Cricetulus griseus: one gene and its partners. The main gene of each other region encodes a partner of the protein of the gene in region 2 in a complex. Links are inferred from orthologs where the notes say so. Each region holds a gene or a part of one and is shown on either strand. Other genes may lie near its edges.

The links.
Region 1: Med12 (region 2) and Med23 share a complex: the UniProt entries of both Homo sapiens proteins name them as parts of the mediator complex. The link is inferred for Cricetulus griseus from reciprocal best matches to the Homo sapiens genes MED12 and MED23.
Region 3: Med12 (region 2) and Med18 share a complex: the UniProt entries of both Homo sapiens proteins name them as parts of the mediator complex. The link is inferred for Cricetulus griseus from reciprocal best matches to the Homo sapiens genes MED12 and MED18.

The regions. Positions count from the first base shown.
Region 1 is NC_048595.1:244,044,886-244,049,135, forward strand, and holds the start of Med23 (mediator of RNA polymerase II transcription subunit 23), read left to right. Parts: upstream 1-1,416; 5' UTR 1,417-1,538; coding exon 1,539-1,586; intron 1,587-1,892; coding exon 1,893-1,924; intron 1,925-2,034; coding exon 2,035-2,122; intron 2,123-3,776; coding exon 3,777-3,901; intron 3,902-4,250. UniProt on the Homo sapiens protein: Required for transcriptional activation subsequent to the assembly of the pre-initiation complex. Component of the Mediator complex, a coactivator involved in the regulated transcription of nearly all RNA polymerase II-dependent genes.
Region 2 is NC_048604.1:68,958,966-68,962,525, reverse strand, and holds part of Med12 (mediator of RNA polymerase II transcription subunit 12), read left to right. Parts: intron 1-432; coding exon 433-594; intron 595-1,926; coding exon 1,927-2,304; intron 2,305-2,518; coding exon 2,519-2,669; intron 2,670-2,805; coding exon 2,806-3,011; intron 3,012-3,172; coding exon 3,173-3,250; intron 3,251-3,341; coding exon 3,342-3,559; intron 3,560-3,560. UniProt on the Homo sapiens protein: Component of the Mediator complex, a coactivator involved in the regulated transcription of nearly all RNA polymerase II-dependent genes.
Region 3 is NC_048595.1:20,799,988-20,804,327, forward strand, and holds the start of Med18 (mediator of RNA polymerase II transcription subunit 18), read left to right. Parts: upstream 1-1,506; 5' UTR 1,507-1,660; intron 1,661-2,341; exon of another isoform or gene 2,342-2,396; 5' UTR 2,397-2,425; coding exon 2,426-2,498; intron 2,499-4,340. UniProt on the Homo sapiens protein: Component of the Mediator complex, a coactivator involved in the regulated transcription of nearly all RNA polymerase II-dependent genes.

The sequences.
Region 1 (4,250 bases), on a different chromosome or scaffold from region 2:
CAGCCTTTATAAGATCCCCAGAAATCCCCTCTATTCCCCAAAGTTGTATTAAAAGTAATTTATTGGGAGAGTACTCTCCAGTGGTACATCTTTTTATAAGACATCCATGCGTGGAATAGGAGTTTCCAGTGATGTGGCTGCCCATGTCACCATGCTGCTATAAGTAATTATAATAAACTCATTGGTTCACCAAGCTGCACTTGAATGGAATCCTTTATTTAATCTGTCAATGCCCTCTGTTTGTGGTATGTAAACGTTAATTTACATCTCCCCAAGGAAAAATCATGTGACAAGTTATCACCAGCCACAATGTATAATTTTTAAAAATCATGGACTTAACTTCAGCTGAAACTCTGAAGTTTCTGGGAAAAAAAAAAAAAAACATTGATAGCATCATGTCCTTAGAATAAAGGAGAAATTATTGATAACAAGACAACAACCACAACAAATTCAAAGTATCCATGAAAATTAATCTACAATGAAAGAAATGTTTAATAAAGTAAGAAAATATTCCAGGACTCAGGTGGTTGAGGCAGGAAGATTTTGAGTTCCAGGCTAACCTGGGCTATATAGTGGTCTCTGTTTAGCCTACTTAGACTACAAAAGACCCCATCTTGAAAAGAACCAAAGGAGAGAGGAGGTGAGAAGAAAGGGAGGAAAATGGAGGGGAGGGGAGAGACTAAGGGAGGGAGGAAAGAAAGAAAAAGAGGAGGGGATAGAAGTGTTATCCGAGAGCACAAACTAAAGCAAAGAAAAATGTTGTCTATATAAGATGAAAAACTTGAATACAGGATGTATTAGAACCACAAATAAGCTTATGAAAAATTATATGATTGACAGTAGACAGAAGATGTAAACAGTCCAGTCATAAACATCAAGGATGTGACAAACGAATGGTAGTATAAATAGAGAGTGCTTTCTGGATTTAGGGCAGTGTGGTTGAGCAGCTGGCTGCATAAATTTTCCAGGGCGATGCAAAATAGTGTTTTTAATCATGTGCTTAACATCACCAATCAAAATTAATTAAATTAATAACAATGCGCTTATTCCTTTTTTTTTTTTCAAAATTCATCGAAAGAACGTGCCCATCTCCTAGCAACTGAGGCAACTACCATAAAGAAGATAGGGTGCACGCGGGCAAGAATAAAGCGGTATCGACTCTTTCAGATGGTCAGTCCTTGACAGGCATCGCTTGGTTTGGCTGCAAAAGAACTTAAAATATGACGCAGCTCCGTCTCCAGCCAGGAGGTGGTGACCAAGGCAGCAGGTCTCATATCAAACAAGGTGCGCTTGTCAGCTTGCGGGCCACCTCAGCTTGCGGAACCATCGGGTAGGGCTACAGATACTCGGAGTGGTTGTAATGAGAGCGCACCGGGCCCTTCCGAGCTTCCGGGCGGGCTCTCTTTAGTTGCGGACCTCTGAAGGAAGCGAGCGAGAAAGCCGGGCTTCCTTCCTGTGGTTCCTCCCCTTGGCACCTTTCTTCCCGGATCGAGGGGTTTACCCGCGCCTTGGCGGGCACCCCGGGAGCCCGGGGCTCGATGGTAACGATGGAGACGCAGCTGCAGAGCATTTTCGAGGAGGTGGTGGTGAGTGCAAATGTCCGTGACCAGGGGGAGAGGGGGTGGGGGAAGTAGGGAGGAGACTGCGGCCCGGCTCTGGGCCTGGACCAGGGCCGGCTCCTTTCCCGCCCCCTTTGTTTGTTTTGACATTGGAGTCTATACTAGGGTTGGCGATCCCTGGGCAGCTGTCAGATTCAAAGAAAGCATCGTTAGTTCCCGCGCGTTCCTGATAAAAGTGACTTGTTCTATATTGCCCTAAACTATTTCTCTAGGGAACACCTCCCACCCCCTTTTGATTATTCAGATCCTTTACTGTATTTTGTTTGTTTGCAGAAAACAGAAATTATAGAAGAGGCTTTCCCAGGGTGAGTATGAGGCAGGCAGGATTTTTGTGAGATGTATCTTTGTAAGATTTTACTTACGTTGGTTTGGGGGAGTTGCAATAATTGCAAGTAATGTGATTTTTGTTTTTTAGCATGTTTATGGATACCCCTGAGGATGAAAAAACAAAACTAATTAGCTGTTTGGCAGCCTTCCGACAGTTTTGGAATGGGCTTTCTCAGGTGAGACATTACCTATGTAACAGCCAGTTGATGACTTCTGGTTCCTTCTTACTTTTTATGTCCACATTGACCTTTTTCTTAAGATCATTTAGGAATAGGAAAAATAAAATTGCCATCATTTTACATTCATATCTTTTTTTGCCACCCCCAAGACAGGGTTTCTCAGTGTAGCTTTGGAGCCTGTCCTGGAACTTGCTCTGTAGACCAGGCTGGCCTCGAACTCACAGAGATCTGCCTGCCTCTGCTTCCCAAAGTGCTGGGAATAAAGTCATGCACCACCACCGCCTGGCTACATTTATTTCTTTACTGCAGAACCTGCATTGAAAGTTCAATGTAATAAGATCCCAGTGGGAGATGTTTTTTTAAAAAATTTCTTTCATGTTAGATTATATAAGACATTTTATTCTATTTTGATACATTTGCTTTCCACATGGAAACAGATAATGTTAAGCATTTCTTGTAAAAGAAAAATGTCACGGTTGAAAAAAATTACCCAGGATTTATGAGTATACCCTCCTAAAGATGCTGTAATAGAGTCCCTGTTAGTACATTATCTTCTCATGGTACACTAAACATAGGGAAGTGAGCTACTGAGCTTTTGCCTCTGAGCCAGTGGTAATGTTTGCCACCCTAAAGACAATATGTTCTAAGTTTATTTTCAAAAGGTAGTACTTTGCGTGAATCAGAAAGCAGAAGAGTGGCTCCAAAGGCTGGTTTTCTTCCTTTTCTAGCTTAGCTCCCCCCCAACCCCCGTCTGAAGCTAGAATCACAGTTGGTGGTCCCTGAACTGTTTATCTACATATGAGACTGTGTCTGTCTATGTCACCCCGCCTTTGTCTCCTGAGTTCTGGGATTACAGAGTCGTCTGCCATCACAGTGTGCTTTTTCTCTTTTAACAGTGCTGGGAATACGGGGTTCCTTCCACATGCTAGGCATACGCTCCTCTCTGAACTGCATCCCCAGCCTCAGAATTATATTTTTATTTTATAGAATCACCATTTGTATACACCTGAAAGATGGTCTTGATATCAGCAAGACTTTTGGTGTCAGATTTTAATTATGAAGACCTAGAAATTAGATTTGTGTTTGGAATCATGGCAGGCTCTGATTAGCCTTCATGGGGACTGTATTCATCTAAATTTTGATGAGGCTGAGGTCCCCACCTAAGTTAGGTTCTTTTCCTCCAGCAAGTGGAATATTTATATCACCTTGTAAAGATGCTGCTTAGAGTAACTTAGATGAGTTTCTATTGGCCGTGAATTTGCTAATATAATCTTAGCGGCTTTTGGAGGTCTCATGGTAGGAGTTTAATTGAAATATTTAAGAATCAGTGTAACAAATACTAATTAAATCTTTATTTGGGGGCAAGGTCTTGCTAGATATAGCTCAGGCTGACAGAACTCTATATGTAGCCCAGGATAGCCTCACATAGACGTCATCCCCTCAAGTACTGGGTTTACTGGCATATACTACCATGCCCACAGTTGAATCTGACTTGAATCTTGCCCTTTTAGGAATTATTTTAATTTACTGATGTTCACAGTCCAATATTTTATTTACGGTACTGATATATCCCCTGGTATGATATTAACCATTTCTGTTCCTTAGAAAATGTAACTTCAGGCCTAAAATAAAAACTTTTTCTAATTTTTAGGATTCTCATGAACAATGCATCCAGTGGATTGTTAAATTTATTCATGGCCAACACAGCCCTAAAAGAATTTCTTTCCTTTATGACTGCTTGGCAATGGCAGTTGAGACTGGCCTCCTTCCACCCAGGTATGTGTGGGTGGGGATGACCTGTACAAAGACCTTCCCTCCAAAAGAGGCAGAGTTGATTTGAGGTTGTTGTACAGAGATAAGAGATGGAGAGGGGCCTGGGCTCGTTAGTAAGTCAGTTTAAAAGTCGGTTATTTTTGGTTTCAAATTTATTTTGTTTTTGATGTGTATGCATCTGCGTTACTAGTTGCTATGTTTATAGGAATGCCTGAGAGGCCAAAGTGGGTGTCGGATCCCTTAGAGCTAGAGGTAACAGGTAATGGGAGCCACCTGGCATGGCTTCTGGGACCTGGACTCGGCTTCTTCGAGAAAGTGTGAGCTCTGAACTGCTGAGTCACCTCTCCAGCTT
Region 2 (3,560 bases):
TCTTTTTTGTCTGTGCAATGCAGATTTACTAAATGCCTTTTTTAAAATTTACTCTTTGTTTGTTTGGTTTGAGACAGGATCTCATTTGGTAACACAGGTTGTCCTGTAAGGGATATGTCACTACATAGCCCATACTGCACTTGAACCCATAGCAATCCTCCTGCCTCAGCCTCATGAGTGCTGAGATTATCTTTGTTTTTTTTTTGTTGTTGTTGTTGTTTTTGAGATGGGTGGCTCTTTATATAGCCGAGGCTGGCCCTCAAACTGAAAATACTCTTGCCTCAGCCTCCCAAGTGCTGGGATTATAGCTGTGCACCACCATGCCCAGCTCTTAGTGTCTTTATACATACTATGTTCTCTGCTACCCTTGAGACTTCCTACTTCTCTTGTTCTGTATCTTTGAACTCATGGCCTATCTTCTTGTTCCTGCAGAAGGACTTGGGGGAGCGCCAGTCTGACAGTCTGGAAAAGGTTCATCAACTGTTGCCACTACCCAAGCAGAACCGAGATGTCATTACCTGTGAGCCACAGGGCTCCCTTATCGACACCAAAGGCAACAAGATTGCCGGCTTCGATTCCATCTTCAAGAAGGAGGCATGTTCTGTTGTCTTGCCATGCCCTCTACCCCCTAGCACCCCATTTTCATTTCTGATCTCACAATTCCAGCTAACACACTGAGTTCAGGAGCCCATTAGGCTCTCCTCAATAAAACCTACAGACCACCTGGGCTTTAAGCAAATCACTTAGGTTTCCTTGCACTTTATCTCCCCTTCTTTTGTAATCTCACCCTTTTCTTGAAAACTGCTCTACCTCCACCTATCTCTTCCTGACCCTCTCCCACTTTCCCTCCCCTCTGCCCCACCTCTTTTCTTGTCCTCTTACCGCTCTGCTGACCCCTGCCTCTTTTCCTCATGTCTCTCTACTTGCCCAACTCTACTTCCCTTTTTTCATGTTGGCTTCAATATTTGGATTAAAAACATTATATGTGCATATGTATGCCACTTATGTGTACAGATGCCCATGGAGGTCAGAAGTTGGATTCCCTAGAGCTGGAGTTATAAGTGATTGTGAGCCGCCTGATGTGGATTCCAGAAAAATAATAATAATAAAAAAACCTAGGTCCTATGCAAGAGCAGCAAGGGCTCTTAACCATTGGTCTATCTCTCCAGCCCTTAGTTTCAGTATTTTCTTGATTAAATGTATTACTCTGCATAGAAGAGGGAGAAAAGGGAATACAGAGTTTCAAATGCAAAGTGAAACCCCTTTGTGTATACACTCTCTTGATTCCTTTCTGCATCAGTGTGTCTCTCTCTCCCTCCTGCCCTCCCTGTTTCTCTACCCCTACTCCTCTGTCTTTCTCTTCTCTTTCTCTGCCATCTTTAGTTTTTCCTTGCCTCTCCTCTCCTTCCCCTCCCTTCCCCCTCCTCCCCCTCTTCTCCCCCACCTCCCTCTTATCCCCCTCCCCTCCCTTCCCTTCCCTTCCCTTCACTCTCCCTCTTCTCCTCCTCTCCTCTCCCCTCCCCTCCCCTCCTCTCCTCCTCTTCCCTCTTCCTCTCCTTTCCCCTTTCTGCTCCTCCCTCCCCAATGGTTTCTTTGTGTCCCTCACATTTTCTGTCAGCCTCTCCCCTCCCCAGCACCTCTGTTTCCCTGTCTGCTCCTTCAGTACCTCTTTCTGTCCTGGCGTTACCTTTCCCCTTCACGCCTTTCTCCTGCAATTCAACTCTGTGCCAGCAAAAATGGTCTTTCCTGCATATGTCTGTGTCAGTGTTTGTCTTTCCTCTTCTCATCATGTCCCCTGATCTACTTAAAAGTCTTTCCTTGTTTGAAAACTTGTCAACAGATATTTTACTCTTTCTATAAGTTCTCAAGTCCTGCCTCCTGTTTCCAAGGCTCAACAGCTCATTGTTTTCTCATTTTCTGGAGCAGGGTCTACAAGTTTCCACCAAACAAAAGATCTCCCCCTGGGATCTTTTTGAGGGCTTGAAGCCATCAACAGCACCACTCTCCTGGGCCTGGTTTGGCACAGTCCGAGTGGACCGCCGAGTGGCACGAGGGGAGGAGCAGCAACGGCTGCTTCTCTACCACACACACCTGAGGCCTCGGCCCAGAGCCTACTACCTGGAACCACTACCACTGCCCCCAGAAGATGAGGAGCCACCAGCCCCTGCCCTACTAGAGCCTGAGAAAAAGGCTCCTGAGCCCCCCAAGACTGACAAACAGGGGGCTGCTCCTCCCAGCACTGAGGAGCGCAAGAAGAAGTCCACCAAGGGCAAAAAACGCAGCCAGCCAGCCACCAAGTCGGAGGCTAGTCCCCCATCCCTACCTACCCCCTTCCTAATTTTGTGTGGTAGGGAGCTAAAGTTCCTGGTTTAAGGGAGGTATGGGGTACATGGGGAAGGGGTGCCATTAGAATCGTGATAATAATGTATCAGTGCCACTCCTGCTTACACCCTTCTCCCTCCTTCTCCTACCTCCCGACCCCCAACTGCTGTAACCTTTGTCCTCTGCACCCATGCAGGACTATGGCATGGGCCCAGGTCGGAGTGGCCCCTATGGTGTGACAGTACCTCCAGACCTTCTGCACCATGCAAATCCTGGTTCCATATCCCACCTTAACTATAGGCAGAACTCCCTAGGCCTGTACACCCAGAATCAACCACTACCTGCTGGTAAGTGCTAGTCACTACGAATGGTGGAGTTGAACATTCCTCCCTCTCCAGGGGAGATGTGGATGGCTGGAACTGTATTTTTTAACAGGCTGAAGGGATGAGGATCTCAGAGAGGTCAATTTGCTCTCCTTTCCAGGTGGCCCTCGTGTGGACCCCTACCGCCCTGTGCGATTACCAATGCAGAAGCTGCCAACTAGACCAACTTATCCTGGTGTGCTGCCCACAACTATGACTACTGTCATGGGCCTTGAACCCTCATCTTATAAGACCTCTGTGTACCGGCAGCAGCAACCCACAGTGCCCCAGGGACAGCGCCTTCGCCAACAGCTCCAGGCAAAGATAGTGAGAGGGGCAGTAGGGAGGACTGTCAGGGAGAGGGATTTTGGTGGGTCACAGGACTGAGGAGATACTTGGGAACTTCACAAGAACATGCAGGGTAGAAGGTATAAAAGAGACATGACAGAAAGCATTTCCTGAATTTGACTTCTCCTTTTTCCCTTTAGCAGAGTCAGGGGATGTTGGGACAGTCATCTGTCCATCAGATGACTCCTAGTTCTTCCTATGGTTTGCAGACTTCCCAGGTAAGTGCCTAAGACTATGAACATAAGGGAGAGGGGAGCAAGCTGCTTTACACACTCATGCCCCAGCTCTGTCTCGCATCCTTCTCTCCAGGGCTATACTTCTTATGTATCACATGTGGGATTGCAGCAACACACAGGCCCTGCAGGTACCATGGTGCCCCCCAGCTACTCCAGCCAACCTTATCAGAGCACCCACCCTTCTACCAATCCTACTCTTGTAGATCCTACCCGCCACCTGCAACAGCGGCCCAGTGGCTATGTGCATCAGCAGGCCCCAACGTATGGGCATGGACTGACTTCCACTCAAAGG
Region 3 (4,340 bases), on a different chromosome or scaffold from region 2:
GTCTCACAATCTTTTTTTTTTTTTTTTTCATTAATCTTTAAAAATGTTGCATTACGCTGGGCGTTGGTGGCACACGCCTTTAGTCCCAGCACTCGAGAGGCAGAGGCAGGTGGATCTCTGTGAGTTCGAGGCCAGCCTGGTCTCCAGAGCGAGTGCCAGGATAGGCTCCAAAGCTACACAGAGAAACCCTGTCTTGAAAAACCAAAAAAATAAAAAAATAAATAAAAATGTTGCATTACAAGTGTTATTAGAGGGCTGGAGAGATGGCTCAGAGGTTAAGAGCACTGCCTGCTCTTCCAGAGGTCCTGAGTTCAATTCCCAGCAACTACATGGTGGCTCACAACCATCTGTAATGAGATCTGGTGCCCTCTTCTGGTGTGCAGATATACATGGAAGCAGAATATTCTATACATAATTAATAAATAAAATCTTTAAAAATGATTAAAAAAAAAAAAGCCGGGCAGTGGTGGCACACGCCTTTAATCCCAGCACTCGGGAGGCAGAGGCAGAGGCAGGTGGATCTCTGTGAGTTCGAGACCAGCCTGGTCTACAAGAGCTAGTTCCAGGACAGCCTCCAAAGCCACAGAGAAACCCTGTCTCGAAACCTTTCCCCCCAAAAAAAAAAAAAAAAAAAAAAAAAAAAAAAAGCAGCAAGTGCTCTTAACTGCTGAGCCTCTCCCCTATTTATTTATTTTTGAAAAGTCTCACAATGTTGTTTAAGTCTTGAACAGTTCTGCTGGAGAGATTCTTACCACAGCCTTCCGAGTTCTGATTCAGACTGTGCCTGGTCCCCTGCATTCATTCATTCATTCATTCATTCATTCATTCCTTTATTTGGTTTTTCAAGACAGGTTTTTTCTGTGTAGCTTTGGAGGCTGTCCCGGAACTCACTCTGTAGACAAGGCTGGCCTCGAACTCACAGAGATCCGCCTGCTTCTGCCTCGGGAGCGCTGGGATTAAAGGCGTGCGTCACCAACGCCCCGCATGGTTCCCTGTACGTAAAGTTGAGGTTTGTACAGGAAATTATACAAGTTTGCTGTTGTATTAAGTTTGCACAGGCCAGGGAAAGGGTCTAGCACTGAGCTATTTCTCCAGACCTTTGAAAACACACAAAACATTCAGTGTTAGCACTGAGGCCCATACAGGCACAACGCTGTGCTTAGCTGGGGAGCGCATCAGACCTCTGTCACCTTGAGCTATCTGATGCTATCAATGCGGCTCTTTCCCCAGTGGCTCAGTTCACAATTTAAACATAGTATCCAATCAGTTTGGAGAGATCTGATCAAGACACCCAGGTCGTCGGAGCTGTGGGGGAGAGCGCCACTTATCCTAGAGCTGCCCTATGACGTAAGGCCCTGCAGTTATCCCCAGCGCACCGCTCCAGACCAGGACCCCCTCGCAAGGCAGCGCCGCACTTCGCACATGCGCTCTTGCCCCCGGTGCCAGGAGGCAGGCTCATTCCTGGCCCTCTCGGCACCCTTACTTCTCGGCGCTTCAGGGCCTAGGTTTCCTGTCCGTCAGCTTCCTGCCGGAAGTGCGGAAGGCGGATGCCTGCATCTTCTCTGGCGGGATTTTGGTATCTGTGGGTGCGAGTGTGCAAGCGTGGACTTAATTCCAGCTTCGCGGGGAGCTGCGGCGTGCACGGAGGCGTGTTGCTAGTGTAAGTGCACACGTGCCCGGGATCCCGGCGTGGGAGGACCGGTGCCGTCACTTTAGTCACGCTTCCCGCCTGGCTCGTTTGAAAAGGGGAAAAAGGCCGAGCCCTGTTCCAGGCGGACCCCCGTGTACCCTGGCGCCTCTCCCTGAGTCTCCTTGGCGTCCGCCTAGGGTGAAGGTCCTTAGGTCGCCTTCGGATCTTCTGTTTTGGGTTTTTAGAGGTCTCACTGCGATTCCCCGGTTGGCCGGAACTTGCTAGGTAGACCAGTCTGGCCTCGAACCTGCAGCCGTCTTCCTAACTCTGTTGTCGAGCGTTAGGATTACAGATGTGCCCCAGCACGGCCAGCTTTTATTTATGTTTGCAAACGGGGCCTCTGTGTAGCCTAAAGGTGACTCTACTTTTTCTGAATTTAGTTGTATGTCGGTTGTTTCGTTTGAGCCACGTAGCTGGGGGAGGGAGGCTGGGCGGTTAAATGCCCCTAGTCTTATTTAAAAGAGTAAGTTCCAGAAAAAGAGGTTGCACAGCTGCCTCAAGATTACCTAGGAAACTTAGAGGGTTCAGAATTTGAGATTAGAAGGTTACGCCGTATCTCCGTGGCCAGAACCCTTGTTTCTGTGTCGCCTGTTCATGGAGCGGGCTGTATAAATAAATGCGAAGTTCTGAATGCCTGAGTCTTGATTTCAGTGCCGGAGCCACGCTACTAACCGCTCCAGTGTACAAACAAGTGTGACTCTTCCAGGTGTATCCCGTGTTTACCTGACCGTCACCATGGAGGCCCCTCCAGTCACCATGATGCCAGTCACTGGGGGCACCATTAACATGATGGAGTACCTCCTGCAGGGTAAGTGAGCCAGGGAGCTTGCATTAATTGCCAAGTTTTTCCTTCCTTCCTTCCTTCCTTCCTTCCTTCCTTCCTTCCTTCCTTCCTTCCTTCCTTTTCTTTTTTGGTCAGAGTAAGTAGAGATAAAGCTAACAAAGTCAACCACACAGTTTCTGTCTCCCTGTAAGTATGTTTAAAGGAGGTAGGGTGGGAAGGTTGACTCAGTGGCCAGAAATTCACCACACAGACCAGTCTGGCCTCAGGTACCTGGGTTTAACGAGATGCACCATAAACAATTGCCTTTTCTTTTTTCTTTTTCTTTTTGGCTTTTCAAGACAGGGTTTCTCTGTAGCCCTGGCTGTCTTGGAACTCACTCTGTAGACCACGATGGCCTCAAACTCCCAAGTGCTGGGATTAAAGGTGTGCACCATCACCCCCCTGCTTCATTTTCTTTCATCTTTACTTTTTCTGCCTCTCGACTGACACTGATCACCTCCACACCTTGTTTTCTTCATCCACTGCTTAGATGCCCCAAAGAAGTGAAATGACTGGTTTGTGACAGGTTTCTTTTACTTGGCATTATATCCTTGACAGAATTATGTCTTATATTTACATGGTTTTTGTATTTTTGGAAACAGGGTCTTAGATAGCCCTGGACTCCTTATTAGCTAGAATTGCAGACCTAGGCTACCAGGCCGTGCTAAGTTCCTGTTTCCGAATCTCTATTCTGCACTGAGTATCTCAAGCATTGTATCTACTTACTTGACTCTTAGGGGGTAGTTTGTTTGCTTGTTCGTTTGGTTTTGGTTTTGAAGACAGGGTCTCACTTTATATATATCCCTGGTTGGCCTGCAATGTAAACCAGGCTGGCCTTGAACTCATAGACATCTACCTGCCTCTGCCTCCCAAGTGCTGGGATTAAAGGCGTGTGCCACCACCACCCGGCTTTTGCTTGAGTCTTGTAATGACCCCTAAATTTTATTTTATTTTTTTTAGCTCTGTCCTAAAGCCCAGAAGACAGAGATAAAGGCTCAATGATAAAACAAGACCCAAAGAGAATGCTGACTTTTTTAGGAGATCATACAATATATTTAGTAGGCAGAGTTAAGCTTTATTTATTTTTGAAATGTGTGTGTATGTGTATATACGCACGTGTATACAGGCGCTCTTGCATATTTTGTGGGAGTCATTTCTCTGCCACTGTGTGGGTGGGGGATTGAACTCAAGTCCTCAGGCTTGATATTTGTACTGGATTTAATTAGATTTTTCTATTACATTTTATTTGTTTGGGAGCGGCCTTGTGCTTGCCACAACACACCTGTAGAGGTCAGGGGACATGTGGGAGTTAGTTCTTTCCCTTCATTAGGTGGGTATCAAGGATTGAACTCAGGTCATCAGGCTTGGCAGCAAGCACCTCTACCCACTGAGCCGTCACATTGGTCCCTCTAAAATGTTACCGAGTAAACATTTAATTTTTGTCCTTGGGCAGTTGTCCTTTATCTTTGTATTTATTTGTTTGTTTGTTTTTATTTGTTTACTTATTTTTGGTTTTTCAAGACAGAGTTTCTTTGGGTAGTCCTGGCTGTCCTAGAACTCACTATGTAGACCAGGCTGGCCTCCAACTCGCAGAGCTCCATTTGCCTCTGCCTCCGAAGTGGCAAATATCTTTCATTTATTTGTGTGATTGCCTGTTTGGGTTTATGTGTATCATGTCCATGCCGAGTCCAGAAGAGGGCGTTGGATCCCCTGGACCTGGAGTTACAGACAGTTGTGAGCTGCCTGATGTGGGTGCTGGGAACTGAACTCTGGTCCTCTGCAGGAGCAGTAGAGGTTCTGAACCACTAAGCCATTTTTCTAGCCCTT